3 linked regions of the Rhinolophus ferrumequinum genome follow. The protein of the gene in region 2 interacts with the protein of the main gene of each other region in a biochemical or structural test. Links are inferred from orthologs where the notes say so. Each region holds a gene or a part of one and is shown on either strand. Other genes may lie near its edges.

Region 1 (9,946 bases), on a different chromosome or scaffold from region 2:
TTAGTAGTTTCTGGACTCACTACAAACCAACTGAGTGAATGTTATCATTATAAAAGAATCTTTATAGTTACTAAGTTATAAAGTAACTGAACTCAAAGAATAGTTGCAAACATGTACTTGCACAACTTGGAAAACTGGAGACAAATATAAAGATACTAACTATCTTCATGTCACTGATTCAGCATTCCAAATTCCTTCTAAAAATTCACACTTCACACACACACACACACACACACACACAAAACAAACTTAAAATTAACTCATCGATTTTTTTTCTCTTGTAACATTTTAATTCAATGATTTTCTGAAAAATATGTGTTCAGATCTAGAAAGTAATTTAACTGAAGATTTGTGGTAAGATCAACCCACATTGAAGAGTTTATGAACAGTGAGAAAATAAATATGAGAGGCATTCATAAAAATCATTCTAAGTATAACTTTTCTCCAGCCCATCTCTGTTAGAGAGACAGTGTAGGTTTCTGTCACCCCACAGATAGGCATGGCACCCAATATGTTCATCCTTCACCTTTCTGCTCATTCTGTGGCTACTGCTGCTACCGGCCAGGGCCACCAGAGAATATGGAAAAACTCAGGAGGGGAGAGGAGAGGCAGAATGGGCTGTGACTGAGTGTGTGTGTGTCCCTGTGGATAACTGTGTATATATGTGTATTCCTTCCCCCAAAGAATTTAAAGTTTGTAAAATAACACGCAACCTAAAATAGTTCAAGATAAGAAAAAGAGAGTCAGGGTCCGCATGAATACTCCAAGGTGGGAATTTAGGAACAGGTAGAAATGATAAGCAACAACCTCATTATTTATTATATGTATCAGTGGATAAATGAACTATATAAATGTTTCTGAGATATTAGTAGCAGCCCTCAAGCAGTCCTTTGAGCTTAGTTTCTAGCTTGCCAAATGGTCACAGGAATAACTCCCCCAAAGGTGGTTCTGTCCTTTCCTTTTCCGGGCCATAGTGGGTCTCTTTTTAGGTATCCCATGGCCATTTCAAGGTCTTATTAAAAAAAAAAAAAAAAGAATACCCTAAAATTAGCAAATATTATTCAGGATAATAAAAGAAGTCAAGGACCCATGAATGATTTTGATTCTTAAAAATATTGATTATTTTTTAAAAGACTGATTTAAAAAAAATCCTCTGAAATATAGTCATTTATGCATGGAAACATTTTTAAAAAGAAACAAAAAAAGTCCTAAATTTTATTGAGAAATTCAATAATCTGGAAAAATAAAAGATTAGACCCACTTTTTGCTATTAGCTCAAACATACACAGTCACATATCTCTGACTCAGTCTATCCTTTTGACAAGTGATGAAGAAAAAATGAATCAAGTGAGAAATACTACCATTGAGAGCATCAATTATCCTAACCCATCAGTCATAAATAAATACCAAAATGGCATTTGGGGCTTACCTACCTACATAGAGAACACCCTCTTTTGTCTTTCCTGCTGCTTCTGCCACACCCTGTTTGGTTTTCTCTGCAGCAGCCACGACTCCCTCCTTGGCCTTTGAAAGTCCTTTCATGAATACATCCATGGCTAAGGAATTCCTTTACACCACACTGGAGAACACAAAATGCACTTTGAATGAGAACTTTTGGGTAAAACAAAACAAAACTATAACCACCCAAAGTAAAATCCCCTGAAAGGTCAGTAAAACTCCCCAAAGGGTGAGACTCTTTTAAATGTACCCTTAGATAATGAAGTCTTTTTTTTTTTTCTTTTTTCTTTCAGCTTTTCCATAACAAATTTAGCACCCCTATCCATCTGGGCTAGTAAAAGTCTAGCCGCCTAAACATGGTTTAGGATGAATCATCTCAGCTGTTCTTGCTGCATTTCCAAAGTGGAGGTGCATGAAAAGATGGACCCCTCTTTCAACTTCCCAGGGTCCAAACGGTGGCAGTATAAAGTTAGAAGTACGTTTAGAAGATAGATCACAGGGAAAGAAAGGGAGCTGGGGGCATGGGGTCAAGGACACTTAAAATGAATCCAAGAAGAGGGCTAATAGGTTGACCAGGGAGAGCGGGGAAGAGACCTACTCACCCTGGGTGTGGCTGAACCTCAGGCCCTCTGAGAGCCCACCCGCGGTCGCTCTAATCCACAGGACCATCCACCCCCGCCCTCAGCTATCTACACGGAGCAGGCGCCTGTTCACACCCGCCGGCAGCCGAGAGACTCTCGCCCGACACCGGAGGGGGTGTTCTCTGCGCGCGCGTAAACCTACTCCCTGCCTCGCACCTGTTAACCCCTTACCACCTGTTGACTTGTCCGATCTGCACTTCCATTTAATTATTTGCCAAACACAGGTAGTTGTTTACTGTACTGAGAGAACCGTGAGGGCGTGCTGGGGTGTTAAAAGATAAGAGAGAAATAAAGTTGGATGCTCACGCTCCATCCAACATCCTTGCGTTTCCCAAAGGAAAAGCGATTCCCTGAGAAGCCTGACCTCTCAGCTTCTGAGGACAAGACGAGGGAAGTATGTAAAGCTGGAGGAAAGCCTGGTCACTCACTTACTTTCTTCAAGCGACCAAAGGGACATACCCATCTCCTAAATTAGATAGAACGGGTCCTCTCTGCCTGCAGCACCAACCCCCTTGCCAGGCGTCCTCTCCTTGCCAATGACTCCTCTCCCACCAGGTGTTCTCCAGGCTTTCCAAAGCTGCCCATTCAGATCCACAGGTACTTATCCGAGTCCCTCTGTTCCTCAGAATTACGATACCACCCCACACCCCGTAAAAAAAATTTAAACAATTCCCAAATATTATTTAAATGGAAAAAGGGTGGGTAAGGAGCGCACGGGAAGGGGCGAAGCGGCACCAGAAGAAGGATGGTCCCCAGAGGAGGCCGCTGTCAGCACAACCCAGCGATAAGAGGCCAGGGGCATGGGAGGCAACCCACGAACCTGTCGTCGAATAGCCACTCCCCGTACCCCGCACAAGAGGATCCCAGAGAAAGAGATAGAGGGATGGAAAGGAAGGCGGGGAGAAGGCACGAAGGATGCTAAAGGCAAGGCTGGGCCCCCAGGTCGGCGCTGAAACCAGCACACACCTCACCCGCGTCCCCGCGCTCGCTCGGTCACTCGCCCCCTTTCTCGGGTCCGTTCGTGTCGTCGCGGTCTTTCTCCTCTTTTTCCTCCTCCTCCTCTTCTGCTCAACGCCCCCGCAGCTGATTTGTCAGCGCCTCTCCCCGCCCCTCTCCTGCCTCTCGCTGCTTTCCGCGCTGCCTGCACTTCACTCCTCTTCTGGATGGGGAGGAGATGGGGTGGGGGCGGGGGGAATGCTGTACCTTCAGCTCCTGCCGCCCGCCTGGTCCTGGGAGGCGGGAAGGTGGGGGTGTTCTGAGCTTCACCTCAAGTTCAGAGTCACAGGGACTCTTGGGGCGATCCGGAGCCGTTAAGCTTGGCTGACATCTCTCTACCTCTTTCCCTCCCCTGTCTCTGCCTTTCCTTCTGGATCCTCACGGGGACCCCCAGGTCAGAACCTACCTGGGGGCGTGGGGGTCTGAGGGATCAACCACCAAAGATAGAGCCAAGCTCTTGGGGAGCTGCTGAAGGAGACAGCTCAAGATTGCTCACATTGGCACCGCCAAGAGCACGTTTCCCTCGGATCGCTGAAATTTGATTAATGAGCGTAGGACCCAACGTTAAGGGTGCTTTTGCTTAAATATCCGCTATTTTCGTTTGCTCTGAACCTTGCCTGTACCCGAAAGGGCCCTGCGGGTAGAGAGGAGACAAATAAGGAAGAGTTACAGGTTGAGGAGGCAGGAGAAGGCTTGTCAAATCCTCTTCCCACTCCACTATCACCATTTTCTTTTCCACCAATCAGGGGCTGCCAGACGCAGGTTTTCCCATCAGCTGAACAAGGAATAAATATTCCTTAGCCGTCGAAACCAAGTGGTCGTAAGGCTTTTAGACATCGAAATGGAATTTACTTTGAAGACTCAAGTGCCTGGTGCAGGAGACAAACCTAGCGTGGTTTATGCTCCTGAACCATTACATCCAATTTCGTCTTCGATCTCTTCTGAAACCGCGATTTTACACACCACTCACCTTTCTGACACCTGATTCACGCTGTCCTCGGAGCTGACACCCCCCCTCTCCCAACACACACACACACACACACGGAGACACACAAACACGCGACAAACCCGCGCAGGCTTCAAGACAATTATTGCATTGCTCAATACATTTTCACCTCTTTCAGAGCTGGAGGGAAAAAGCTGTTCCCGGATCACACCGAATGGAGATCCAAGCTCCTCCTAACAGAATGTCTTTGCTTTTTTTTTGCCTGGTTGGGAGGGTGATTTTTAGCACTGGAAGGGAAAAATAAGTCTTTGCGATGCGTTTTTATTTATTTATTTATTTATTTTGTGGGGGTGTGTTCTTTCACCCTTGCACTCACTTGTGTTTGAAATCTGAGTAAAATGCAATTTAAATCTACAAAACAACCATTTGAAACCGAAAGGGACAGGAAGCAAGTATACATTATTGATTAAACAATTCCTTGCATCACTGGTCTACCCTTTTTAAAAGTAGCCTTTCCAAAACTCTCCTGTTGTTTCCTTGGGGTCAGAGAAAAGAAGGTTAAACTTGAAAATTGGTTTGTTGTCTGGCTTTGAGACTTTCTACAAGTTTTGTCCTCTTTCAGTTTTCTTGTAAATGAGGAGTTAACCCAAATAACACTTCTCTTTTTGACCTTTTATTATGGAAAATGTTTAAACATATACAAAAGTAGAGAAAATAAAAGACTCTCTTGTGAATAGCACCCAACTTCCACCATTTTTCAATTTATGGCTAATCATCTGTATGCCTGTCCACTTTCCAATTTTTATCACTTCTCCTTCTGCATTTTTTACTAAATTCCAAGAATTACATATGTCTGTTTCATCTGTAAATATTTCACCATGCATCCATGACAGATAAGAACTAAAAATGGATAACAATAATGTTCAGATGGTCTTTTTTTAACTGAAGTATAATTTATAGACAGTGAAATGCTCAAATCTTAAGGTCTTCAAATTAGTTTTGAAAAACATATGCATTCATGTAGCTCACACCATTTTGAAGACAGAACAGTTTCACAACCCCAGAAAGTTCCTTCCTGTCCTTCTTAGTTGTACATATTCAAGAATTTCAAAAATGGAATCCTACAGTATGAAGTTGTTTTTTATATCTGGCTCCTTTCACTCAGCATAATGTGTGAAGTTCATTCATGTTGTCGCATATATCAGTAGTTTGTTTCTTTTTATTGCTCTTGATTATTATTTTTTTTTTATTACTGACAATGATAAATGTTTTCCACTGTGACCCATCACAGCTAGGTCCCTTGATAGACTGTTATGACAATTATTTAATATATTATTTCATATGACATATTTATAGTTTAACAGGAACCTCTGAAGGGGAGAAAATGACTGATATTTTCGGCCCCACTGCAGACCAATGAGAGAATTATTTTGAGCAGTCGTTACTTTTTTGTCTTTGTTATAGGACAGCATGATTCCAAACCTTTAAATTGTACTTGGCAAAGGACTGATGTACTATATTATTTAATCATAACAAGTGGGTTAGTTAAGTTTCATTATGTATGTTTTATAGACGGAATCTGAAGCTAAAAAATTTTCAGTAACAGAACTAGATTATCTAGTTCTTGAGTAGCAGAGCTGAGATAATCTAGCAGGAACTGTTCCAGAAGGCACATTTGTCTCCAGAATTAGCATTTACTCTCTGGAACCTTACAGATGGGTTATGTTATCAAATGGGAGGGAAAAGGTGAGATCCAACTGTGTTAGAAATAACCTTTAAATTTGGATGTGACAATGGAAATCCAGGAGAATTTATGTTATTATAAAACAGTGCCTTCATATTTGACATTTTGCCTTTTCTATATTGGTCATTTTCAGCAGGGGGAGATGATTCCTCACAACCCCCACACGCACAAAAATGCAAAACAATTTTTTTGTCATTTTAAATTACAAGTTTATGTTTCACTCCTCTTTTCGCCCCTTAAAGTGCCTTGAACATAGTAAGCAATCAATAAACTTTTAATTACTAATAATATTAATAGTGACATTATTTATGTTCTACCTGTAGTCTCTTAGCTCTGTATTCGTAAAGCGGCAGAACTACTCAAGAACAAAGAAGGGAACTGACTGCTACTAAAGATTTTTTTCATCATTGATTGATAGCATGGCCTTGAGTAAAATTTTAACTCTCTGAATATAACTTTGAAAATAATCTTATTGAATGGCCTGTACCTCATAAGGGATATAGAAGAATGATCTATTGGGAAATATTACTAATGTGTACGTCTTGTTAGTGTACATCATACATGATTGGCTTTCTCTTTGACAAATGAATTCTAAATATTTTGCTACTCTTATATAGGATTGTTGTATTTGAGTTTAATACAGTAAATTAGTTACAGATTAACATTCTATGAAATGCATAGTTAACCTAAACTCTCTTTGTCTTCTCATTAAACACGGATTTTTAGGTGTGCCATGTAGTAAGCTTGTGCTGCAATGAAATGATGTGAAAAATGAGGAATCTGACCGAGTGATTAAAGAGATTTTAATCTGTTTCTTATCTTCTCTTTGCACCTTCCTCTCATGTTATGCAAATGTATGAAAAATATGAGGTAGTGAGATCTTGGTTGGCTCCCTTGTAATTTCCTAGTAGGCATAGAGGGGAAAGCCTAATGCATATAGTTGGGATGGCATTGTGTATGATTTTGGAAAGAGGCTGAGCTTGAAACAGGGCAATAGGGTTACTCGAAAGAGATATAAAGAGCAATGAAGAGGGAGTATAGCATTCAAAGAAGATTCTCTAGTTTGACACCAGGGGCAACTTCATGTTGTTGTTACAGTACTGTTGGCAGCACAAAATAATGGACATTTATTCTAGCATAATATGGTTTATCATATTTATTAATATGATAATATTAATATATCCTCAACAATGTAGAAATTGTGACCACAGGAAAGTGCCATGCAAAGTATGTAAAATTAAATTGTATATCATTTTAAATATCCCTGTGCTTTTTGTGGTACTAAAGCTATGAGGACATGCAAGAATCCAAGTTAAAATCTTCAAAGTCAGACAGAAGAGATATTTAAATATTTTAGGATCGAAAAAGTAGAGATAAGTATTAGAAGGAGAAATATATTTATGAGTTCAAGAAACGCACTACAACCTGGTGAACATGGTTGACTTCTAAGAGTGGAGAAACTGCATACAAGTTAAACTTGGTATCACTAATCCAGAGCAAGTATCTAACCTCTCTAAATCTCTAATTTTCTTATTGACAAAATGAGGATGACATTTTACTTGTGTGATTGTTGTAAAGAATAAATAATATAGTTTTAGTAAAGAACAAAGCACAGTGGAATCTGTCGATACAAGTAGTTATTATCTAGCCCCCCATGTTTTAGGGTGCCTTAAGAAATACTTTTTTCATTGTAGTAGTTTTCAACATTTTCCCATCCCCCCCCCAACCTCCCATCTCACCCTAAACACACTTAAGTTCTCTAATGCCTCCTCATCAATAACTTTGGCTTACTATGGTATTAGGTAAAACATTTCCCACCATGGATGGAAGTTGTGAGGAGATAGTATGGGGGGATTCAAGGAGCATTGATAGGAGTCGTTAATATAAAATCTGCCCAAAATCTCTTTTTTCACCCTAATATGTGGTGTGGGGACAGAGCCCCAAAAAGCAGTTTCCAGGCTCTCGGTCTCACATAGAAAGGTGGTGGCTCAGGTAGTAAATGGCCATCGACTGTGATCAAATGGCCAGCAGCTGTGGCTAGTTGGTCGTCAGCTGTAACCAGTGAGCCATTAGCTATGAATATAACTGCGGTGGCTAGTCTAGCAAAAAAAAGAAAAAAAAGGGGGAGCTAGCAAGAAGATGGTGGCTGAGTCTGCAAGCGGCACAGTGAGGGTTGAGAATTGTGTTGCTCCTGGTTCCTGTGTCTCCAACCCAGCCGCCAGTGAGAGTATAGTGGTGTGACTCCCCTACCTATGGCTCCGTGGGTGTTCCTGTTTGGCCTCACCATGTCCTGCGTTCTTGTGTGGGGAGTGGGACCAGAGACCCCGCCTGACACCCCGCACGACACTTGGCGTAGTCGGCAGGATCCCCTGCACTACATGTGGATTACAGTAACATCATTCACAGCAGATCACATCAGTAGCCCGAAGAAATATAGTGACAGTGGTAGAATTAATATTCTCTATCTTTATTGACAGTTTTATATTCTTGGAGCCTGGTTTCTTTAAAGGCGCAGTGTAAGAGCTCTGTATAAATTCTGTTGATTTGCCGAGGGAGCAAAATAAAATGATGTAACAAATGGTGTTCCAAGTTTGCCAGACTTGTGACAGCAGCTCTAAAAAGGCTTCAGAATGAATATCCAATTCAGAGATAAACTCAGCCTCTAATGTTCCAGGTGAGTGAAGAACGGACAGACTGATAAGACAATGACAGATCTACTTCTGCGTCTCAACTGCATTTGTGTTCAGAAAGGCAGAAAATAAATGGATAAAAAAACATTTCAGGGGAATTTATAATGATTTGCGCAGTGTTTTGGACCGAAATAATGCCTTTGCCAAGAGAGAAATCATAGGAAACTAATAAAAGGAGCATGTTCCATATAATATCAAAATTATCCAGGCGTCTAATATATTTTCTCTACAGATAATTTGCATATGCAGTGGCATTTAGATATTTTCTTCCACGCTATTTAAAAAGCATATCATTAATGTTTTGATAGCTTGTTACCACACATTATCATTGAGATTAAGAAAGGGAAATTGTTCAGAGAAGAAATTGTTTCTTAATGGTTATTTGATAAATACTTTAACATCAAAAACTATCCATGTCAATGAATACAGATTTGTGATGTCATTTTTACTATAAAACATTACATTGTAACATATATTTAATCAATTGTCTATTTTTAATTTTTATAAACATCACTTGAGTTAAATTTCTCTGATTATCTTCCCAAAAGTGGGACAAGAACTTGTCTATATATTCAGTCTAATAATTCTTCATAAATATTTAAATATTATTCATGAGTTCCTGTGGGGACAGAGCCAGGAGCGCAGTTTCCAGGCTCTCGGCCTCACGTGGAAAGGTGCTGGCTCAGGTAGTAAATGGCCATCAACTGTGATTGGATGGCTAGTTGGCCATCACCTGTAACCAATGAGCCATTGGCCACTAATATAACTGCTGTGACTATGCTAGGAGCAAATGGGGGCTAGCAAGAAGATGGTGGCTGAGCTAGCAAGCAGTGGAGTGAGGGTTGCGGATTGTGTGGCTCCTGTTTCCTATGTCTCTAACCCAGCCACCAGTGAGAATATAGTGGTATGACTCCCCTATCTATGGCTCCATGAGTGTTCCTTTTTGGCCTCACCATGTCCTGCGTTCTTCTGTGGAGAGCAGGACAGGAGACCCCCCTGCCGCCCTGCATGACAGTTCCTCTTAAATCAACTTCTCTATGATAAACCATGATTTTTCTTTAAGTCTCTCTCACTCTTTTTTGAGTCCATTCCTGTTTAAATTCCTGTTAACTTTCCCCATTAAAATGTTGGATTAAAAGCTGTTTTGTTTCAGGTTTTTTTTGGTCAGGATTAGGAGAAACTACAAGTAATCAGATTCACCATAAATGACTTTCTGATAGTAGTAGCTATTAAATAGTTATGAACAAATAGCTATGAATTTTTATTTTACCTTATCAATATTTAAAGTGCAGAAATAGATCAGATTAAATATGCAAATCTCCAATTCCTACAGGAAATCTAACTTGATGTTTCACAGGTATGTCTTCAAATACATGTATAACAAAGAAAGAATAGCATTCAAACATCTTCACGTAATGTAATCATCAAAAGGAAAAACTGATTCATACAAAATTCTCTCTTGTGTTACTCA
Region 2 (10,583 bases):
TTTTTCGAAGTGGGAGCGGGGAAGATACTAATTAACTGAATAGAAGGCACAATCTAATTGGAAAACTACCATGTGTTCTATTAGAAAATTAACACCTGTTCATACACACAGCTACGGAGCAACTCAAACCATACACACAAATGCTGAAGGAACACAATTTCTTAAAATTTTCAACAAATGGGCTTCATGACCTTCATGAAGTTCATTAAAAGGGCAGAAGGAAAATTCAACCTAAACGAAAGGCACCACAATCCTGTTATATCTCCAGGTTGGCACTGACCTCAAAGGGCATGTGGGCCAAAGGGCATGTTCAATAAACGGAACTCTTTTCCACATGGAATAAATCTGACCCTTCCTCTAGGAAACCAATTCTACGTTTTCCTCTTGCAATTTGTGGGAATAATCCATTTCTTTTGTTCCTGTCAGGAGCGGTGCCTGATACTAGAAACCACGTAAAAGCCACACCGTTCTATGATGGGTGTGTGCAGACCAAGTCCGGTTGGAGTTAGGGATGGACACACAGTCATGGACTGTCACTCATCCAAAAAACAGCAAAGCCAACAAACCTCTCCCCCAAATTGTCCAAAGGCGAATCCCAAAGAGTCAAGCCAGGTCATTGCAGAAAACCAACCAGAAGCAAATAAATGTCTGTCAAGGAATTGATTAGCTTCAATATTCACTCTGGACTGGGCACCGGGAGGGACGTTTATTTTATTAATATTTATTCGTTCAGAGGAAGGGTTTGGAGAGGGGAAAACGGATTAACAATTCTTATGTGGTAAACATAAGCAGCATCACAAAACGAAAAATAATCCCTTAATTAATTATGACAGGAAAGGCATTTCTCGTTCTTTCGGAGGACGGGTCACATGGAGGGAAAGGGATCTGATAAAAATTCAAAGCCCTCCTGCTGAGCCTGAGCGCGCACGTAGGCCTGGCAGTCGCTGTCTCAGGTGCCGTCCTCCATCCCAACTCGCACCAGCCCAAGACCCGGGCTTGGAGTTAGAGGTTCCTGTGCGCCGAAGGCCAAGTGGGGTCTCCCGGGATGTAAAAGTGCCCCGACCTGCTGGGGATTCCGAGACAGGACGTTTCCGGCTGGCTCAGCGCTCCACAGTCGGAGCGTGTGCACAGACGCTGCATCCCTCCACATCTTGGGGGGTTGTCGTTTAGTTACAGCGCGCGCAGAGCCAGGGATGGAGTTTCCTGATCGGGTATGAAGGACCATTCTCTGGCCGCCGGGATTCCTCCATTCACAGCCCCCAGACCTTGCAAACCCGAGAACTCCACCAAGCCACCTACAGATCCCAAAATGGAGCGAAATCGCAAACGCGTGCACGGCGCTTTGTTCCAGGTATTGGGCTAAATGCGCTCGCCCCCGCCGGGTTCCCTTTCCCCCAAGCGACAGGAGGTGACACCCGCCTGTGGTCTGCCCCAGGCCGCGGGCTCCCAGTTCCATGGCCGCCCCTCGCCCCTCACTCTGTCTGGAACCAGAATCCCATGTTCAGCTCGGGAGGAGGGTGGCTAGAGGGGAAAAGATGCTGGAATCGACCCTTGAGCCTGTCCAGCAACCTGCCGGTGGCGAGCCCAGCTCTGCGGAGGCGGGGAGTGGGGCGGGAAGGGAGGGGAGAGCAGAGCCGCGGCTCTGACCTGACAGCCACAGCCGGGAAGGTTTGGCCAGGCCCGGGGGAAGACTCTCGACTCCGAGCCGAGCCATTCCCCGGATATTCAGATCAATCTGCGCGGCTTGCGTGGATGATTCGGCCCCTAAAATGCTCGTCCCTCTCAGAACAGCGCCCTCGCGCCAGTTTTCAGCGATGTAATTAACCAGAAAGACGCGCGGACCCGGGCCGTTACAGAAGGGCAAGGCTCGGCCTTGTTCGCCAGGGGTCGGTACCCCACTCCTCTCCCCTCGTTCCCTTTTCCAAGGGCCGCAGTGAATTCGGGTTCCTAAGTGATAAGTGATATTCGGCCACAAGAATAATAATACACCAGGGACGCCTGTCTGGGAGCCGATGGCCGCGGGAAGCCAATTAGGAAGAGCCAACGGCTCCAGTTTGTGGGTTTCCCTACGGAGCCCCCAGAGGGGGCACGGCTCTTGGTACCCGGGAGTTCTAATTCTCCGATCGGAAGGGGCGGGGCAACGCCCCAAAGGCTGTTCTCAAGACGCGTGTTGTTTCCAAGGCAACACCTCCCCTAACGACCCCCTCCCAGTCGGCTCCGGAAAAATGGGTGTGGCCCGCAGCAACCGGGGAAACCTCTTGCCCCCTCCTCACTTTCTCCCGCCTGGCCAGGCAACAGGGAGTGAAGCGGGGAGGGGATCCCGCTTGCGTGCCCCCTCCTACCGCCCCCTCGGGTGCCCCTCCGGGGGCAGCCTGGTGGGGTATGGGACCCAGGACACTCGGGGCATGGGGAGGGGCGTTGTCCCTCCGCTGACACCCGCACAGCGCAAGGAGACCCGGAATCCCACCCCTGCGGCCCCGCGGATGCTTCCTGGCGGGCGGCCTGGCTCTGATAGTGGGCCGGGCAGGGTCAAGCCGGTTCCACGCGTACCTCCGAGGCCGTGACTCGAGTTCATCGACTCCAGCAAGCCCCGAAATCTAACAAAGGGCTCAGAAATGAGGGGCGAAACACGGGAGAAGGGGCGGGGGGGGCCTTGGTTAAACACCCTTATAAAATAAAAGGCAAAAACCCAGGCTGGCAACGCTGATCACGTTAGCCCTACAAACAAAGCAGCGAGCCACCAGGAAAATCTCGAGGGAACGCCCCCAAAGCTCAAGCCCTCAGCAGCAAAACGCCACGATTTCAGCGCTGAATGCACCCTCCACCCACCCTTAATGACAGTCCCCGCCTTGCCCTTCGAAGCCCGGCCACCCGGCTTGGTGTGGTACCGTAAAGACATGGCACGCCGCAAAAAGATGGCACCTCGCGATCGGAGGGGGAAAAAAAGCGGGGGTGGGAGTGGGAGGAGGCACAGCCTACCCTCCCCCTCCTCGCCCACCCGGGTCCACACCCACTGCCGCAGTGAGGGGCGAGCCCTGCGCGCCAGCCCCGCGCCTCCGGCAGGGAGCGCACACGCCGGACGCCGGGCGCAGAGCGCAGAGAAAGGGGACCGCCCCGAAGTGCACCTGCAGCCTCTGTGCCGATCTGTGAGGGGCTGGGGCTGTGAGCGCCCGCGAGGCAGGATCCGCGGGGCCGAGTCCCTCCACAGAGCAAGGCCAGGTGACCCCTGTCTTTCGAGCCTCCACATCTCTCCGCGCACTGCCTTCTCTCGGGCACAGCGCTGCTCGCGTCTCGGTGCCAGGCGCGCGCAGGGGGAAGGGCAACTAAAGTGACAGCGCCTGGACCCCTCCCCAACTCCCCGATTCCACTCCCAGCCCCCAAATGTCCCCTGCGGGTTTCTGAAGGAGGAAAACGGGGAGGGAGGTGGGCCACCGCCTTAAATCAGGGACAGCGAAAAGCCCCATTGGAATTGCTGCCGAGGAGGTGAAGGGAGGGGCAGGCAGGGAGTCATCTTTTCTAGAACCCAATCCATACCTTCCTTAGGGCTGATGGCAAACCGAGACAGAGAAATCGGATTCCAGATCGATTTCGGGGGTCGTCATTGGACGCCCCCGGACACACACTTAGACACACGCCCATTGCGGCAAAAGGCGGCGATTGAGAGTGTATAGCAGCCCCCTCCCCCAGGTCACCGCCACCCGCGCCCCACCCTGCGGGCACCTCTGCCCGGGTCCGCGCGAAGCGGGTCTTGTGGAACCCCAGCACACACACGCACACACACACACATACACACTCACACGCGTGTGTGCATCTCTTGCATGGGTGCGTTTCCAAGCCACCCCAGGCCCAGCCCCGGAGCACCGAGGGCGCAAGGAGGGGCCCCCGCCGTTGCCCCCGACCAATGCTCACCTCAGGAAATCCATCTCTGAGGCAGGGGGCGAGGGGCGGCAACATGGGGGCGCAGGAGGCGGACGGGGAGGCACCTTTCGGAGCCTCGCGCTTACCTGATAGTCGACAGAGAGCGAGGGCAGAAGAGGAAAGCAGAGGATAAAGTGTCTGGTGGCGGCGGCAGAAGGTGGGCGGTGGCGGCGGTGCTGCTGCTGGTGCCGGAGCTGGTGGGTGACGGAGACTGCGAGCGCGCGCACCAGCGAGGGCGCGCTCCCGAGACCGGCGGGCGGCGCAGGCGCGAGCAGCGGGAACGCGAGTCTTCCCTGAGGAGGGGCGGGCGGCGAGGCCTCCGCAGGCGTCTTCTCCTCCGGCCACTAGTGGGCGCGCGCGAGCGCCTCACGGCTCGCTGTCCCCAGCCTCCTGGCTCGCTGCTCCCGGCGCTTCCCTTCCCTGTCTTTCCTCCCCCCACGACTCGGGCCGCGGCACGGACTGCCACGCGCACGCGCGCTCCGTGGCGCACGCGTGCTCTGGGTCACCTCTGGCGGCTGGACCCTTTGTCTGGTCTGAAGGGTCTTCTCCCTCGGGAGGGAGGCTTGGTTTCCTACTGTGGTTGGAAGAGGCTGCGGTGCTCCGCTTCCAGATCTGCTGCCCTTTTCCTTTTTGTCCCGGGAGTGATGTCCTATCTCAGAACGTCCTGGGCGGGTTTCCACATGACCGCTCCCCAGAGGGTCCACCCCAGTCCTCCAAGTTTGGCCGGCTTATCGCTACCGGGCACCCTGACCCTCCTTTGAGTCTCCGGAAATGGTCCCCCTTGTTGGAGATCAGTTTCCCTGGGCCTGCTTCCTTTCAACCTGCTTTTTTTCCATCTTTTTTGTTATTGATCAAGGTGAATGCTTTCCTTCGCCAATCCTCATCAAACAGGCTAATTCAGTTGTAAGAGTAGTGTTGTGGTGTTTTTTTTTTTTAACAAGGACCATTTCCATCTATTTTTTAACGGTGTCCGAGAATAAAATCTTAGACAAAGGTCCAAATGGCGGCGCTAATCACATTGCAAAGCATTTTCACACATACAGTTATTTTGATCTTGTTTCTTGACACACGGTTATACTGTAAGTAGAGTTTGAGATCGGAAGTGCTAAGTGCTCATGGAGATTCTCACCTAGATAACACACTGAAACTGACCAGAAGTTTTCATTCTCCTGGTCACCCAGTTCCCAGCATTGGCCTGTGAAGAAAGAGATGACATGCCCAAAATGGAGTCACTTGTGCTATGCCACTTCACCAAAACGAAAACTATTAATAAATACCTCATTGCAGTTTCAGCCTCTCCCAGGAGTGGAATTTTAAACCACCAATCAGTCTGGAATTTCCTGATCAACACTAGTGAGAGGTAATCTGCCTAATAAGACCCTTTCCGCCCTTCCCTCAAAGAAAAGTGCCCTTGGCTGAAAAGATCCTTTCTTTCCTTTTGGTAATAACTTTCTTGTCCTGCCCACTGCCAGCCTATAAAAACCTACCAACTTCTCAGGGCTCCTTTCTACTTGGCTGGATGGGATGCTGCCTGATGTATGCATTGCTCAAGAAAGCCAATTAGATCTTTAAAATCTACTCCATTGAATTTGGTTCTTGAACGGATCTTAGCTTGGTCTCCCCAACATCTAATGTAAGCCCTGGCAGTGGGAGGCTTTATAAGTATGGGAGTTTGGTGGGGGGCATCTTGTCCTAGGGAGATGGGAACTTGTTTTGAAGCTTTAATTTGCATGGCTCTTACATTTATATTTTTTAAATCAATATTTTTTGTTATAGATTAATACAAAAAGCAGGCTATTAAAAATTTTTTATTGACGGGGAAGCACTGGGTGGATGCTAGAGATGGGGCACATTTCTTAAACGACTCGTTCTGAATCTCTGGTGACCTTTTTGTTGTCCCAACTCTCATGGTCCTCGTTAAAGACTCTTACCTTGGCACTGGACATGTAGTGACCTTACCGGTCTCCCTGCTCTCTGTTTCTCCCTGTATCAGCCCACCTTGAACCCCCTAATCAGACAAATCTTCAGAAGCAATCGTTTTAATCACGACACTCTCTTGCTCAAAAATATCTAAAGGCTTCTAACTGACCCCTAAGTGAAGTGAAACTTCTTAGCCTTAAATTCCTCAGCATTCAAACCCTCTGTCCCTCCCCACCCCCTCATCTGAGCCCCTGTCCTCTCCAGTTTTCTCTTTCATCTACTCTATGACCAACTTAGCTTGTTTGATTGGAACTCTTCCCCACCTCAACTCGGGGGTTTTCCTCTGCTTACAAAGTCCTTGCTCTTTCTCCATGCACCAAATATCCTATTTAACCTTCAAACCCTCGCTCAAATGTTCTAAAGCCTTGTAATCACCCCAGCTGGAAGGGATATCTCCTCTAGGAAGGCTTAGCAAAGTTACTCATCTCTGAAGTGAAGGGGAGAGAGGAATTAATATCAGTCTTGCAAGACTGCAGCTTCATTATTGCTGCCAATTGTGTCCTTTCTCCTTTTCCTGTATGGGGATTATCTGTCCTTTCCTGTTACCCTGTGATCTGTACTGCTCCCACTCTCCACTCCCAGACCACTCATATTTGGTCTGGCCACGTGGTGGTCTGTGGCAACTAGAACTAAGGGGCATGATGTAGACATGTCCAACGAAAAGCTTTAAGAGGCATTGTGAGTTTCTACCACTTTTACTTGTCCCCTGCACCACCGCGATGGTCCCCTCCACCACCAGAATGGCATGCCCTGTGGGGCTGCTCCTTCAGCATAGGTCCCAGAATGAACAGACACAAGGAAGTACATATAACATGTATAGTAACATGAGCAAGAAATAGACATTTACAGGGTGAGTCACTGAGATTCTGAGGGATGTTTGTTATCACAGCAAAACTACAGTTTAATCCCCATTATATATATTATATATATATTAAACTGTATGTATATATATATATTTTATACACAGTATGTGTGTGTAAAGTTTCTCATGTAAAGTACCTGACAAATAGTGGACATCCATTAAATGATAACTAGCAGTTATTTCAGCATCCCCATCAGTGCTTTGGCTATACATTCTTTCTATATGTAAAATAAACTGTAGCAGTCAAATTAACACTCCTCCCATTCAATTTTCTCGTTTTCTTTCCTTTAAGAACTGACTGGGACCCGATAACACAGTGATCTCCTGATACTGAATGAACACATTTGCCTACATTCAATTGAGGTAATGAATGCTAGAAACCATCTTAAGCAGATCCATCATTTAACTGTATGTAATGTGGAGCTGAGTGTTCATTCCAGATAATTTAATCACTGGAGGTAGCTAATGGCTCTCTAGGTCAAGAAAATGCATCCTCTCCCTTTCTCCCTGCCCCTCCCTCTTGCTGAAATAGAGATCTGGCCAATTCAGCACGCAAGGCCCATCACAAAGAAGCATAGAAGGTAGAATCGCACAGGGAAAGAGAACTGGATTAGGTTTCAAAAGAGTTGGGTCCCAATCTTAGCTGTGCTGTGTGATCTTTGACAAATTCATTAACTTCTCTGGGCTCCCATTTTTTTATGTAGCAGTGTCCCAGGTAGGATTGGAACTAAGAGTCCGATACCTATAGAATTTATAAAAGTCCAAACAGGAAAAGAATACATGGATCTAGGAACCAAGGAGTGGAAGCTGAAGTGGTCCCACTTCCCAACATTCCCAGGTGACCCCAGGGGGGAATCTGAGCTTCCCATCCTCACTAGTGTAGGCTCTGCAGGGATAGAGGTCCCCCAAAGGGGAAGCTTCCACCAGGGGACACAGCAAAGGTTTCACTGAACTATAAGCGATGGCTGCTGCCTGAGCACTTTGGGTCCAGAGAGCAGCAGGCAAGAACAGAAGGTACTGTCCTGGCAGGAATAACCGACTTCAATCATCCGCAGGAAGTAGGACTGCTACCAAAACACGGGGAGGATACATTTGTCACTTGGGCACCTCTTGGTATTCCCTTTTGTTAAAAGACAGAAACGTCCACCCTAGCCTGAGAAAGTGTTTTAGTTTCCTGTTGTTGTTGTAACAATGACCCCAAACTTAGTGACTTAAAACAAAGTAAACTCCTTGCCTTCCAATTCTGGAAGTCAGAAGTCCAAAATGAGTCTCATCAAGCAAACCTCATGGGGTGTTGGCAGGACTGCCGTCCTCTTGGAGGTGCAGAGGAAGAGTCTGTTTCCTTGGCTTTTCCAGCTTCTGGGTGCTGCCCTGTTCCTTGGTGGGTGGTCCCCAGCCAGCAATCACATCCCTCCAACCTCTGCTTCTGTTGTCACATCTTCTCTGACTGGGACACTCCTGCCTCCCTGTTTCACTTACAATCCTTGTGATTATACTGGGCCCACCCAAATAATCCAGGATAATCTCCTCATTTCAAGATTCTTAATTTCATCACAGCTTCAAATCCATTTTGCCATATAAGGTAATTTATTCATATGTTCCAAGGGTCAGGACATGAGCATCTTTGATCAGGGCATTACTCTGCTTACCACAGAAGGACATGGTGACTATGGCACCGACCCCTCAGGGAAGAAGATGTCTACGGTAACCCCATATCTAATGGCTGACCGACCCAGGTGGGCAGATAAATGTTCAACCTGGGGCAACTCTGATGGTCCATTTTGGGTTCTGAGATCCCCAGGTGGTTCGCTGAGGCTGGTTGGGCCTGTATCACAGCTTGACTTCTCCTTTTGCACAATCCTGCTTCCTTCCTCTCCCTTCCACAGCTATCGATCCCAAGGGTACTGCCTAAATATCTCGCATGCTGGACTCTGTCTCAGAATCTGCTTCCCAGAGAACCTTGCCTGCATCTTCATGAATGCATTAAATAATAAAATCTAGCAGTGGGTTTAATTACTTTCCCAATTTCAAATAGGGGTAAGTATAAATGACATTTTGAAATATCTCTGACACATGTACCGTGCAAAGAAAATATCTATTAGTGATGAAGTCACAGATACTGTTAATACTACATTGATTACTGAAATGCTAAATTCCAATACAGGTTATAAAAATAAAGGTGAACTTTTTTGTCTCCAAGTTTCTGGACCCTCAGGTTAACAGCCTTTATCTTCTTTTTCTATGTAGTGAGGATTTAATAAGTCCATTAAATTGAATGAAATAAAGGTTACAATGAGGTGAAATGAGCATTTCCTTAATTCTGGGTCAATTCGTTTTATATTCAGTTCTGTGTGACAAAAATGCGAAGCAGCTGTGGTCTAAACAAGACTCAATTGTATTTCTCCAGGAATAGGAGTCAAGGGCTGTTTTAGAAACTCTAAGACCTTCTTGGAGCCCATATCTGTTTATTTCATTTCTGTATCATCCTTCGCTTGCTGTCTCATTAGTCCAAAGTGGCTGCTTCAGCTCCAGACAACACATCCCCAGAAATAAGGAAGAGATAAAAAAGGGAGCATCTCTATCTTTTAAGGACAATTCCTATAAATCACACTTGTTACTCTTGCTAACACCCTATTGGCCAGAATATGTGCATGGCTACACATTGTTGCCACCGAGGCTGGGAAATGTAGTCTTTATTACAGAGGGCCTTGTGATCAGCTACTTGTAAATACCAGATACAGGGGGAGAAGGAGATGTGGAGTATTAGCCACAATTATGCTAAGAAGCCATCTCCCTTAGCAGTTCCTCCTAGCTATGCACGAGCAGCACATTCTTTCCCTTTGAAATATTTTCCTGAAAATACTTTTCATGATAAGGCATTTTCTAGTGAGACAGATGACAGCCTTGAAGACCAACATTTCTTTATTTTCAGTTACAAAGTCAGAGATCCAGATTCCCAGCCTGTTTAGACAGCCCCAAATGTATTTGTTTTGCCTAATTGTGGGCTAGGTATGGTGCTTTGATGAGACACCTACTGTCCTCTCTCAAAGCCAACATAGAGAAATACCAATATAATGCAATTAAATTAGGAAGTGAGTATTAACATTACAGACAAATGCTTTGCTAGACAAAAGGAACCATCACCAGGTTTCCTTAAATGTCAGTTACCCTGTTACAACTGAAATGTGAGTTGATTTACATGCAAGTTTATAAACACCTTAATTATATAAAGTAAGACAGATCTATGCCTTAATTTCTCTAGACTTCTCTTTCATAATTATTCTTTAGGCTCAAGTGTTCCTTTCTGTCTTTATATTTCCTGAATGCCTCCTGCCTACCTCTCCTTCCCTCCATTGCCAGGGCAATGCCAACCCCCTTGTCTAGATTCCCTGGGTTCTGGCAAGAAGCAGGATGAAATGCCAACCGGGGTTTCGGTTACACATGACTCAGCAACACGGCATTCTTGTCAGAAAGGCCAGGATGATCCTGGGCCCAGAAATAGGAGCAGGCATAATAGGTCCATGAGGTCATCCTCTCCTTATATTTGGCTTTGCCCAGACACTCTGGATATCCTGCCTCAGGGAGTGTCAGGTAATGTGGGGAGGATTCAGAGCGGAGCCCCACATACAATACTTGAAAAAAGTTGAGCAGAAATCCCTTTCACATAAACCCTGCCATCAGTTGCACAATCCTACCCTATGGACGATGTAGTCAGAATTCTAAAAATGGGATGTAATGTACACTACTCTGTGGTATATTTGAAAGTTGCTAAGACAACTCGTAAATCCTAAAAGTTCTCATCACAAGAAAAAAATTGTCACTA
Region 3 (10,652 bases), on a different chromosome or scaffold from region 2:
CATTCAAAGCTCTGTCAAATCTGGCCACACATTACTTTTTAAACCTTATCTTCCATTGGTCTCCTCTATCAGCTTTTTTTCTAGCCAAACTGGTTTTCCTGAAGTTATACAACAGACTCACATGGTTCTTAATTCCTTTGACAGCTCCACCCACTTAAGAGTTTAGAAGGGGGTGGGGGTGTGTATGATGGGTTAGAAATGAAGTGGTGGAAAATAATTTGCTTCCTCTCCTTTCTTCATCTATTTAAGATCCACTTTAAAATGTCCTCTACCCACCCATTGTAAATAGGACAGTATGAGCAATTCATTTGAGTATGAGTACAATCATATTAGCAAATTTGTTCTGCCTCACAACTTTTTTGTGGATTCAAAATGTGACTTTAAATAATTATTTAACTTTTCATATCGTTATTTCCCCAAAGGATGAGCTCCCCAAGGGCACAGAGCTGTTCGTGTACTACTTTATATCAGATAGATGTCTTGCATATAGTATGTACTCAATAAATATTGCTAGTTTTATTAATTTAACTCATATTGCAAAGGGTTATCAGTAAAAATGTTAGTTGGAAAGCACTGCTGAGAAATTTGGAGTTTTTAAAAATTCCATGTAATCAGAAGCTTTCTGAGGAGTGTGTGAACCACAGTGAAAAAATGAGTTATTTTGGGGGCAATGTCCTTTAAAACCAAACAAACAGAAATTTATTGCAGAAATATTAAAAACATTTAAGGTGAATATTTTCATCTATAATTAAATATGCCAATATATTAAGAAAACTATTCTAATTTCTGTATTCCTTTTCAATCTTGATCCAAATGTATATATATTTTACAGATTTGGAAATATATAATCTGAAGTTCTATATTATTCAGTTAGTATTGTTTCTGAGTTGCTATGAGTCTTTGTATTTATTATTTTTACTGGTTGCATAATATGGATTTAATATAACATAATTTACTTAACCACACCTCTGTTAGCCAATACTGTCTTCCTTTATTTTCTCTAGGTCCATATTTTATATGGTACATAATTTCAAACTACCTCTAGCTCACTGAGGTCGGACAATTAAGTTTGCGTACTCATCCTAGAAAAAGTTCTCCATACCTCATTGCTGAATATCACTATGGTCACCTTCAAAGCATTACCCTTGGGAAGCTATGCACTGACGCCAGTGTCTAGTCCACCCTTCAAAGCAATTCTGGAACTCTATTTCTGGAATGGCTGTCAATGTCATCATATTACTCTTGATGTCCTGAATGTCATCAAAATTTCTTCCTTTCAATATTTTATCTTCGGGTAAAGAAAGAAGTCAATGGAGGCCAGATTAGGTGAGTAGGAAGGATGTTCCAATACAGTTACTGTTTGTTTACTGACTAAAAACTCCCTCACAGACAGTGCCGTGTGAGCTGGTGCATTATCGTGTCATGGCAAGAGCCATGAATTGTTGGTGAAAAGTTCAAGTCGTTTTTGTCTTTTTTACACAGCCTTTTCAGCACTTCCAAATAGGAAACTTGGTTGTTTGTCCAGTTGGTACAAATTTATAATGAATAATCCCTCTGATATCAAAAAAGGTTAGCAACATCGTTGCAACAAGTTCATGAACTTGATTGTCAGACCTCATATATATATATAATTTTATATAAACAGGATAAACAATGGTACTTTTTGATGGAGGGCAGAGTGATCTAGTAGAAAGCTGAATTCAAATTGACTGAGGTATAAATCCCATACCAACTCTGCCATTTACTAATTTCATGACCTTGAGCAATATATTTATTGCTCATCCCCCTCATCTATTACAAAAAGAGCTAGTAATGTCTCTCTTGGGGTTTTGGGAAGGATTGAACAGGCACTCAATAAATGTAAATTTATTTTTCCTACCTCTTAATCTTCACTTTGACCTTGATTGGAGGGCTTTCCTAGGGTTCATTACTAAATACCTTTCCTAGGGTTCATTACTAAATAACTCTTTTCTATCTCATAGTATCTGACTACAAGTACCTGGAGCAGAGACCATATCATATAAATTTTGAAGAGCAGCATCCAACAACATTCAGGTGTTTAACATATATTGGCTATGTAAATGAGGTCCTAGGAGGGGTTTGCTCATTTACTTCTGTTTGAAATGGTTGACTCTGGGTTCACCTAAATAAACAGCATCTTATATTCTCTTTGCTATCTTCCTTATTAAATGTGCTTATATTTTCTTCTAGTTGCAACTAAAACTTGAGCTAAGTGATTTTGAACAAGTCACTTATTCAAGTGTGTAGTTTCCTCATTTGTAAAAACATTAATAATTTAATAATAGTACTTCCTAAACATATAGTATTTTCTAAGTGCAAAGTGCTATACAAATACAGGCATACCTCATTTTATTGCACTACGCTTTACTGTGCTTCACAGATGTTTTTTAACAAATTGAAGGCAAAACCCTACAACCAGCAAAAAGATTACGACTCACTTTATTGCCATGATCTGGAACTGAACCTGCTATATCGCCAAGGTATGCCTGTACTTCTTATTACTACATAAGCCTGTTCATTGTGCATTTTAATTTATAATTATTCTTTTGTGGGCACACTCACTAACCTTTCTTTTTTTTTTCTACTACACTACTTAACCTGTTGTGTCCCACCCAGCTTTCCTACCTTTATCTTTCCCTAGTCCTTTGGTTTGTTACTGTGGCTCAGAATCACTTATCTCTGCAAGGGAAATCTAATAAGCCCTGGAGGAAACCAAACTGTTATAAACCAAACTAGGGGATATGTTCACAACCAGGCACAAACAGTTCAAGACATAAGGCTTAGACTTTAAGATAAAGCAAGACATACCAGGAGAGGTGGGGACTGCTTGAGAGAGAGAAGTGTGTATTAGAACAGTGAATCTGAATCCTGGTTCTACTTTAGCTCTGTGGACCTAGCAAGTTAGTAAACCTTCCTGGCCCTCAGTTTCTTCATCTGAAAAGCAGAGGTGATAACACTACTTACGTCATAAGATTATTATAAATTTGAGATAGTATGTGTGAAGCACTTAAGACCAGTGTCTGGCATATTGTAAACACTCAGCAAATATTACCTATTAAAATTATTACAAACTAGTAAGTGGTTAACAGCAGGTTGGAAGGTAAAGTGTTTGAAAATTCAGAGAAACAAACACTGAATGTTAATTTCATCAGTTCTGTATTTTCTCATAAACTTCTTCAAGTCCTAATTCTGGATTGAAACACTTTTTTTCCTATAAAAATTCCCCATGACTTGGTCAAATTTATTTTTTTTAAACAGCATCAGTTCAAACTATTTGAAGGCACCAACAATAATCAGTCTTAGACTATTTTTGTACTTTATTATATACAAAAGAATAGCCATGTTTCCAATTTGTATAACCTAAACATGTTATTCCCTTTCCCGCTGGTAGAATTGGGAGTATGGATGGGGAGTCCAGAGGGAGGCAGGACGTAAAGCGCCTCACAGCATTTTTAGGGACTAGTGACAAAGGTCATTCATTAACAATAGTTTGCATGTAGAGGCAACATTCATTGGCAAAGTTGCCATGCACTGAGTTTGCTTTTAACATTCTTTACTCTCCTCCATGACATCCAGAGATCTCATATTCTCACTTAATTGCAAAGAACAAGAGCCTCTACTGCTCTGGGGCTACAAAACCCATGCTCAGGTTTGAAATTACAAATTGATTGCATGTTGGCCACATTTACCCCAGGATGTTTAGTTTGGCCTTCAGGGTTTTGAAATACTGGTTGCTAACATTTAAAAATAGAGATATTTTACACAAATTAGGGTTTCTCTTGGGAGAGGGAAAAAAACACAGAATCTCTCAGAACACTGGACCTACATTCCTGAGGCCAACAATCTGCTAGATCTGAACAGCTGCTCCCTTCAGTTACAGCATGGACACTCCAGTTTGCCACATTCCTTATCATTCCTCATTGTCTTCCACCAGGCCAGTCTTACTCATATGCTTTACTTTTCTGACCCCTGTAGACCTGTCTGCAAACCCTACCTAGACCTTTTTTGCCTACCATCAAAGCTTAGTTTGTTTTGCCCTAAGTCCCTCATCAGTATGTCAAAGCAATAGCTACATAATTTGATTAGCCATAGGTATTTTTACATGTGCTTTCTGGAGATAGTATTTTAACAGAAAGAGATGACTCTTCAGGTGGAAATTACAATCAGGATAGCAACTGTCCATTCTACTTTTTCTGCTATCCTGACGTAGTCATACCTCACTGTCCTCAAGCAAACCAAAGGAAGTGGTTTTCTGCAGAACAACACCCGGCTCTATGTGAAACCTACTTAAATAATACTTTCATAGATCACCCTAGTTCCAAAGGACCAAAAGCTACTAAGGGCTATTCTGACTCCCCATTTCCTCGGAGGCTTCAGGATATCCGGCCTGATGGCATTTCCCTTCACCTGATTTTTGGGCCCGTTTTGCGCTGGGCAGTCGCGCCCAAGGAGCGCGCGCGCATCCAGCATGAGCTCATTTCTCAGGGGGCGTTTCCAGAAGGCCGGCCTGGCCGCGCGCACCAGGCACAGTCTCCCTCTTTCTAATCAATGGCCCCCACGGCTGGGCGTGGCGCTGCCTCTCTGAAAGCTTTGTTCCCACTCTAGCGTCTGTGAGCTCGCACCCCGCCGGGGAGGCGCCTGGATCCATCTGGCCCTTGCGGGGAAGACGCTGGTACTCGGGACGCGCTAGCCTGGGCAGAAGGGAGTCTCGGAGGCGCAGAATTAGCCGCGCCCCGCCTAGAGCCTGTAGTCGGTGGGGAGAGCCCCTAAGCCCTCTGCTCGCCTGAGCGCTCCGAGCTCAGCCCAGCCGACCGCAGCAGTTTCGGACCCGCTGTGTAGAGGGCCCGCGCTCCCTATTTGCGGTTTCCACATGGTCTGAGAGCCGCCGCCACGACCCCAGTCGAGCTTCTTCTGGCTCCTGGGACCGCCGCCGGAGGTCGGAGGCCAATCACATTGCAGCTAGGTCTTGCGATTGGAAGGCAGTGAGTGCCGATTGGCTATCGCTAGGGTTTCGGCCTCCCTCCTTTTCCCTTTTGCCCCAACTCTAGCTCCAAAGCTTCAGGCCAATGAGAAGGCGCTTTATAGACGCCCTCCCTTTGCTTTCTTCTCCCCTCCTTGGCGAGGGAGGAGACGTTGTGACTGGCCAGACTGTCCTCGGAAGCCCCCTTCCTTTCACCAATCACCAAGGGAGGTGCACTCCCAGCGGAGTTTTTGGCCAATTACAAAGCAGCCACGGAGCCCAGCCGTGCTGTTTCACCCGCGACTCGGAGTTTCACTGCCCTTAACTCTTCAGGCGGTTTCGTGAGGGCCGGCGACTCTGATTGGCCACTATTGCCACTGTCGAATTTCTCTAGCCAGCCACAAAACAAGACGAACCCACCTTTTTCTGGTTCGGGTATCTTCGGCATTTTTCGGACTTTGGGCGTGGATTTCCAGCGGCACATTCTAATTGGGTCCTTAGGTCCATCGGCTTTTTCCGGGAGGAGCCGCAAACATACGACGTCTGTGATTGGCTACGCTCAGGCTTCGGTCCTTTAGCAGAAGCGGCGGGCGCAGGGCTCGTCCGGCGATTCCCAGACTCCTGTTACGCGGGCGGCGGGGCGCTGGGTGGTGTAAGGCTGGGTGGGGGAGGAAGGAGGCGGAGGACGAGTAGGAGGGGGGAGAGGGAGTGGGGAAGAGCTAGGCGGCTGCGCAGACGGTTCTCCTCACACAGAGCAGCCCCTGACCCGGGCGAATGCGGGTTTGTGCTGCCGTCGCCGCCGCCGCCGCCGTCGTCCGGCCCCAGTGACAAAGGAAGGAAGGAAGGAAGCAAGGAGGAGTCGGCCCCACAGCCGCTGACAGGGCTCCGGGCTGGGGGCAAAGCGCGGACACTTCTTGAGTAGGCACCGAGCAGAGGCGAGGGGCGGGAGGGCGACCGCGCTGGTGCCGTGGACGGGGGAGGGGGCCCCGAGGGACGGAAGCAGTTGCTGGGTTCCCATGTCCCCGGCGTATGGGGAGCAGTCAAGGAGCCGCTGCTTGGGGTCTGAAGGGAGCTGCCTCTGCCACCGCCGCCGCCATGGCCGCTGGATCCAGCCGCCGCCTGCAGCTGCTCCTGGCGCAATGAGGAGAGGAGCCGCCGCCACCGCCCGCCTCTGACTGACTCGCGACTCCGCCGCCCTCCAGTTTGCCGAGCCCCCGCCGTCAGCCCGCCGGATCCCGCCGCTGCCGGAGCCGCAGCGTTTTCCGTCGCATCTCCGAGCCACCCCCTCCCTCTCCCTCCCTCCTTCCCATCCCCCTTCTTTTCAAGCGTGAGACTCGTGATCCTTCCGCCGCTTCCCTTCTTCATTGACTCGGAAAAAAAATCCCCGAGGAAAATACAATATTCAAAGTACTTATTTTCAATCAAGTATTTACCCCTGTTTCGCGTGATATATATATATTTTTAGGATTTCTCCCCTCCTCTCTCCTCCCCTCCAAGGAAAGGGAGGAGAAAGAATTGTATTTTTTTCCCAGCCCCAAATCATCTATATGTTAAATATCCAGACTGATCTGTCTTGAAGGAGAAATACATCGCTCGTTGTTTTATAGCTATACAAAAGGAGTGAAAAGCCAAGAGGACAAAGTCTTTTTCTTTTTCTTGTGGGAGAACTTAATGCTGCATTTATCATTAACCTAACACCCCAACATAAAACAAAAGGAAGAAAACGAGGAAGGAGGGAAAAGAAGGTAATTCGGAAGGAAAAGGTGATTCAGAAAGAGAGCAATCATGTCAGGCCGGCCGAGAACCACCTCCTTTGCGGAGAGCTGCAAGCCAGTGCAGCAGCCTTCAGCTTTTGGCAGCATGAAAGTTAGCAGTGAGTATTGATTTTATTTTACACCCCTTCGCCACCTCACCCTTAGAATAACACACCTTGAAATACCAGGATCTTCAAATCTTAGACCTCCTGATACAGCAATCAGGGGGAATGGAAAAAGGCAAAAACCTGTCTTCAGTCAAGGATGAGGCAGCTCCCTCTTTTCTCCTCCCATACTCCCTCCCCCGGTCTCATTAACCTTGAATTGAGAGAATATGCTTTTTATTTGGATGATTTGGTTTGCGCCTAATTTTTTATACTTTCCTTGCTGTTGATAGTCAGCTTCATCCAGTGCTTAAGTATTTCCACGTTAAAATAGTGATGGAAGTGTTTACTTGCTCATCCTTTTGGATAAAGAGAAGGGCAAGGCTTGATTCATAAACCATTATGTACGTTCGCTCAGTGTATGTCTTTTGGAATGAGGGATATTTTAGTTAGCTCAGGTCTCAGAGGTTGTCATAGTTTTGTATACTTAACAGAGAGACTGAGTGTCACAGTCTCCTAACATTTCTTTCTTGCTTAACGATACAAAGTATTTGTTCTTAATCCGGAAATCAACTTGCTCAGTAACCAGCATTAGCGTTGGGAGGCGAGCATTGATCGTTCCGTTTACAAGGGGCGGGTGGGAACTGATACACAGTAGCAGTAGTGTGTCTACATGCATTGTTTTAAATTGGATAAGTGGTTTAACGTGTTCTCTTAATCTTCCCGTTTTGACATTACCAATCTACCACTATGTAATTATGTTTAATCAAAAGATAACTTGGTCCAAGTTTTGATTGAGGTTTGTATTGTCACGTTGCCAAATATGAAGTTCAATGTTGATGTTAATTGTTATTGACTCCATCATTTAAGTTCAATTTTGGGGTGGCCTTTGCATTCAGTACTTGTTACATGAAGAGTTCAGGGGTCCCTTCTTAGGACTATTTAAAATACTCTTGCATTGGTTTCCTGTCACATTTAGATAAAACTGTGGATTTAGTTATAAGATGTAGATCTTTCCATCATAGGTTTTGCAGAAGGCTGTGATCCTGGATAAAATAGGGAAATTTGGGCTGTGTTCAGGGATGTTGCTAGACTGTATTCTTATCCCAGATTTATACTGAAAAGTCTGTGTTCTTGAGGTGTTAGTATACTAAGTGTCCAATGTTCCAATGTATCTCTATTTGTGGTTATGTTTATGTGCTATTTAATGACAGTTTATTTAAACATATGTGCAGAATTTAACAAAAATATAGCTTTATGTTCTTATTCCTGAGGAAAGGGGCATGATTAGGGTAACGAAAAACTAGTTTGTTGCCTAGAAGAAGGAGAGAATGAAGAACTGAGATTTTTTTTTTTTTAAAGTATATGCTGGTACGTGAAATTGATTATATCTTTAAGCAACATAAAATGATTTTAATTGAACTCAGGCTTTCAAGTCATGTTGGCCTTTGGAACTTGCCAGAAATAGGGTAGTCTAAGGTAATAGCTGAATGGAAGATTATTTTTGAAAGTTAATTTTTTTTTTTTTTTGGTGACTGGCTTGTACAGAATGCAGGGTATGTGAAGAGGGAAGCTGATGATGCATCTTTCAGGGAAGGATCAGGCTTTCTAAGCACTGGGGTCATTTGAAAGGAATATTTTAAAATTCTGGGGTAATTTTCAGCTATGATGAAGCAAATTTTGTAATAGCTACTTAAGAGCCTCTTGTGGTAGTGGAGTGTTTGCTTTTCATCTTGGTAATATAGTTTAAAAACCACTCAAAATCAATTTTCGGTAATTAATTTATTAAATCTGTTTTAGAGAGCCAAGTAGAATAGCTTACGATGTTAAATTTTTGGACTTTTCATTTTGTTTCCAGGATTTTGTTTGAACAAGACTCTTTAATTCTCGATAGTGTGGATGTTGGCTAATAGGGGAACCCCTTATAAAGTGTGTAGGTTAAAATGTTTAATTATCTGTTACCATATAGGTCAACTTAACATTAAAAAAGCTGGAGTTCAGTGCTAATTGTTTTTGACAACATTGACTTTAAGGACATTTTAGAAGGGAATTGCTGAACATTGGTTAGAGTGCTAGTGTTCTAAGGGACCCCTGTTCAGAAGAGATACATGAGAAATTGTAGTCCGTGGCCTCAATAGCTTATGATTTAGTTGTAGAGGCAGGTTATAAAGACAAAAGATGAAAACAATATGGTGATGACTGTAAGTGTATAAATACAAATATAATGCTTTTTTCAGAGGGACAAACAATAAATGGGGTGAGGCAGATGGGTTGGAGAGGGAAGACTTCCTGCAGAGGTGTGTTTTAAGACAGGTGTTAAAGGAGGCGGTAACTTCAATTGACAGAGAAGTATAAAGGATTCTAGATGGAAGGAATGGACAGAGATACAGAAAATGGTGATTTTTGTATGACATGTAAATGATTTTTGTACTTACTAAGCAAGTAGGTAAATTTGAATTAAAGGGTCCTAAATTGGAAAATAAGAAGTGATGGAATTTGAGAAATGTGTTCATATTAGCTGGTGGGGGTAGAAGGGGTCTGTAAGAGTTTGGTTGAGATTCAAGAGAGATTGGAATTTACTGTAGATTGTTTAACAAGATTTTGTAGATGATTTGGGTAGCTGAGTTGATGGATTAGAGTAGAGACATTAGAGCCCTTTTAAGGAGATTGTAGGGTATGTTGTGAATCCTGAGGGAATATAAAGTAAAATGTGAAAATGGGATGAAAAGAACACATTTGAGAAAATAGTGTGAGTGAAGAAGTGGCAGGATTTTGGATTGGATTGAAGGGGAATATTTGGGAAGGAGTCAGGAGTTAAAAATAAATTCTGATGTTATTGGTCTGGAAGACTTGACCGCCAAGTTATATTGTTGATTGTAATGGGAAGGTTGAGAAAGTGCCGAGATGAGAGGGTAGATGAGTTCACTTTTTAAAAATTTAATATACAATAGATTCCCTTGAAATTCAGCAGACATCAGTTGGTTCCAGCCTATTAAAATTGCAGTTTCTAATTTTTCTGCACCTAAAAATGTTGGATTTATTTTTGGGAGTAGTAAACTAAGTTTTTATTTAAATGCTTTCCATTAAAGTCTTAAAGAAGAACATAATTTTTTATTTAGATTCACATAAAAGCCTCACACTTGAAATCTACTTGTAATAGTTCCATGGTTATGTATATGATAACAATGAAAATATTTTTTTGCTGTGACCTAAACTGTGACTTAGAAATTTCAGATATTTTACATAGCCTTGAAGCTTTGGTACAACTTAAAAAGTTTTTGCATAAATAATGATTATTCTCAGGTAAACCTTGCATTTAAAATAATGGTAGTAATAATAATAGCAGCCTTTTCTGGATTCATGAAAGCTTCAAGCAGAAACTAAAAGTTGATTTTGTAACAAGTAGTTTTTACCTTTTTTGTTGAGTTAAGCATTCACCCCAAGTTTAAATCAGTATATTTGAAATATTTCTTTTTATTTACTGTGGTGAAGCCAACATTTTTTATTTAATGAATGTTATTAAATAAATGTTAATAGCTAATAATTCACATGATATTATACTCAAAATAGAGAAAGTAGGACTGTCTATGGTGATTTTAGTTAAAATATTAGTAATAAATCCTTTGGTATAGGTGAAAATTTAGCTAATTGCCTCGGCTTACATATAGGATTTGGAAAGAAGAAAATAAGTCGAGTATCACTTAAGTTATTGCCTCATATTAAAGCTCTTTTAGAACTTTTTTTTTTAAGTGAGGAATGATTAATAGTAGTTACATATTATTGTGCAGTATTTAGTCCTGTGGTGATTAAAAC

The links.
Region 1: the proteins of MAPT (region 2) and SNCA form a complex in vitro, tested with the Homo sapiens proteins (3 studies listed by BioGRID and IntAct). The link is inferred for Rhinolophus ferrumequinum from reciprocal best matches to the Homo sapiens genes MAPT and SNCA.
Region 3: of the proteins of MAPT (region 2) and GSK3B, one has a biochemical effect on the other in vitro, tested with the Homo sapiens proteins (21 studies listed by BioGRID and IntAct, with this or other methods). The link is inferred for Rhinolophus ferrumequinum from reciprocal best matches to the Homo sapiens genes MAPT and GSK3B.

What each region holds. Positions count from the first base shown.
Region 1 is NC_046288.1:43,470,297-43,480,242, forward strand, and holds the start of SNCA (alpha-synuclein), read right to left. Parts: upstream 4,285-9,946; 5' UTR 4,211-4,284; intron 3,730-4,210; 5' UTR 3,071-3,729; exon of another isoform or gene 3,066-3,070; intron 3,059-3,065; exon of another isoform or gene 2,920-3,058; intron 2,185-2,919; exon of another isoform or gene 2,061-2,184; intron 1,580-2,060; 5' UTR 1,555-1,579; coding exon 1,434-1,554; intron 1-1,433. UniProt on the Homo sapiens protein: Neuronal protein that plays several roles in synaptic activity such as regulation of synaptic vesicle trafficking and subsequent neurotransmitter release.
Region 2 is NC_046304.1:40,898,701-40,909,283, reverse strand, and holds the start of MAPT (microtubule-associated protein tau), read right to left. Parts: upstream 4,249-10,583; 5' UTR 4,005-4,248; intron 4,001-4,004; exon of another isoform or gene 3,910-4,000; intron 3,232-3,909; exon of another isoform or gene 3,126-3,231; intron 1-3,125. UniProt on the Homo sapiens protein: Promotes microtubule assembly and stability, and might be involved in the establishment and maintenance of neuronal polarity.
Region 3 is NC_046285.1:45,647,031-45,657,682, reverse strand, and holds the start of GSK3B (glycogen synthase kinase-3 beta), read left to right. Parts: upstream 1-6,368; 5' UTR 6,369-6,766; coding exon 6,767-6,854; intron 6,855-10,652. UniProt on the Homo sapiens protein: Constitutively active protein kinase that acts as a negative regulator in the hormonal control of glucose homeostasis, Wnt signaling and regulation of transcription factors and microtubules, by phosphorylating and inactivating glycogen synthase (GYS1 or GYS2), EIF2B, CTNNB1/beta-catenin, APC, AXIN1, DPYSL2/CRMP2, JUN, NFATC1/NFATC, MAPT/TAU and MACF1.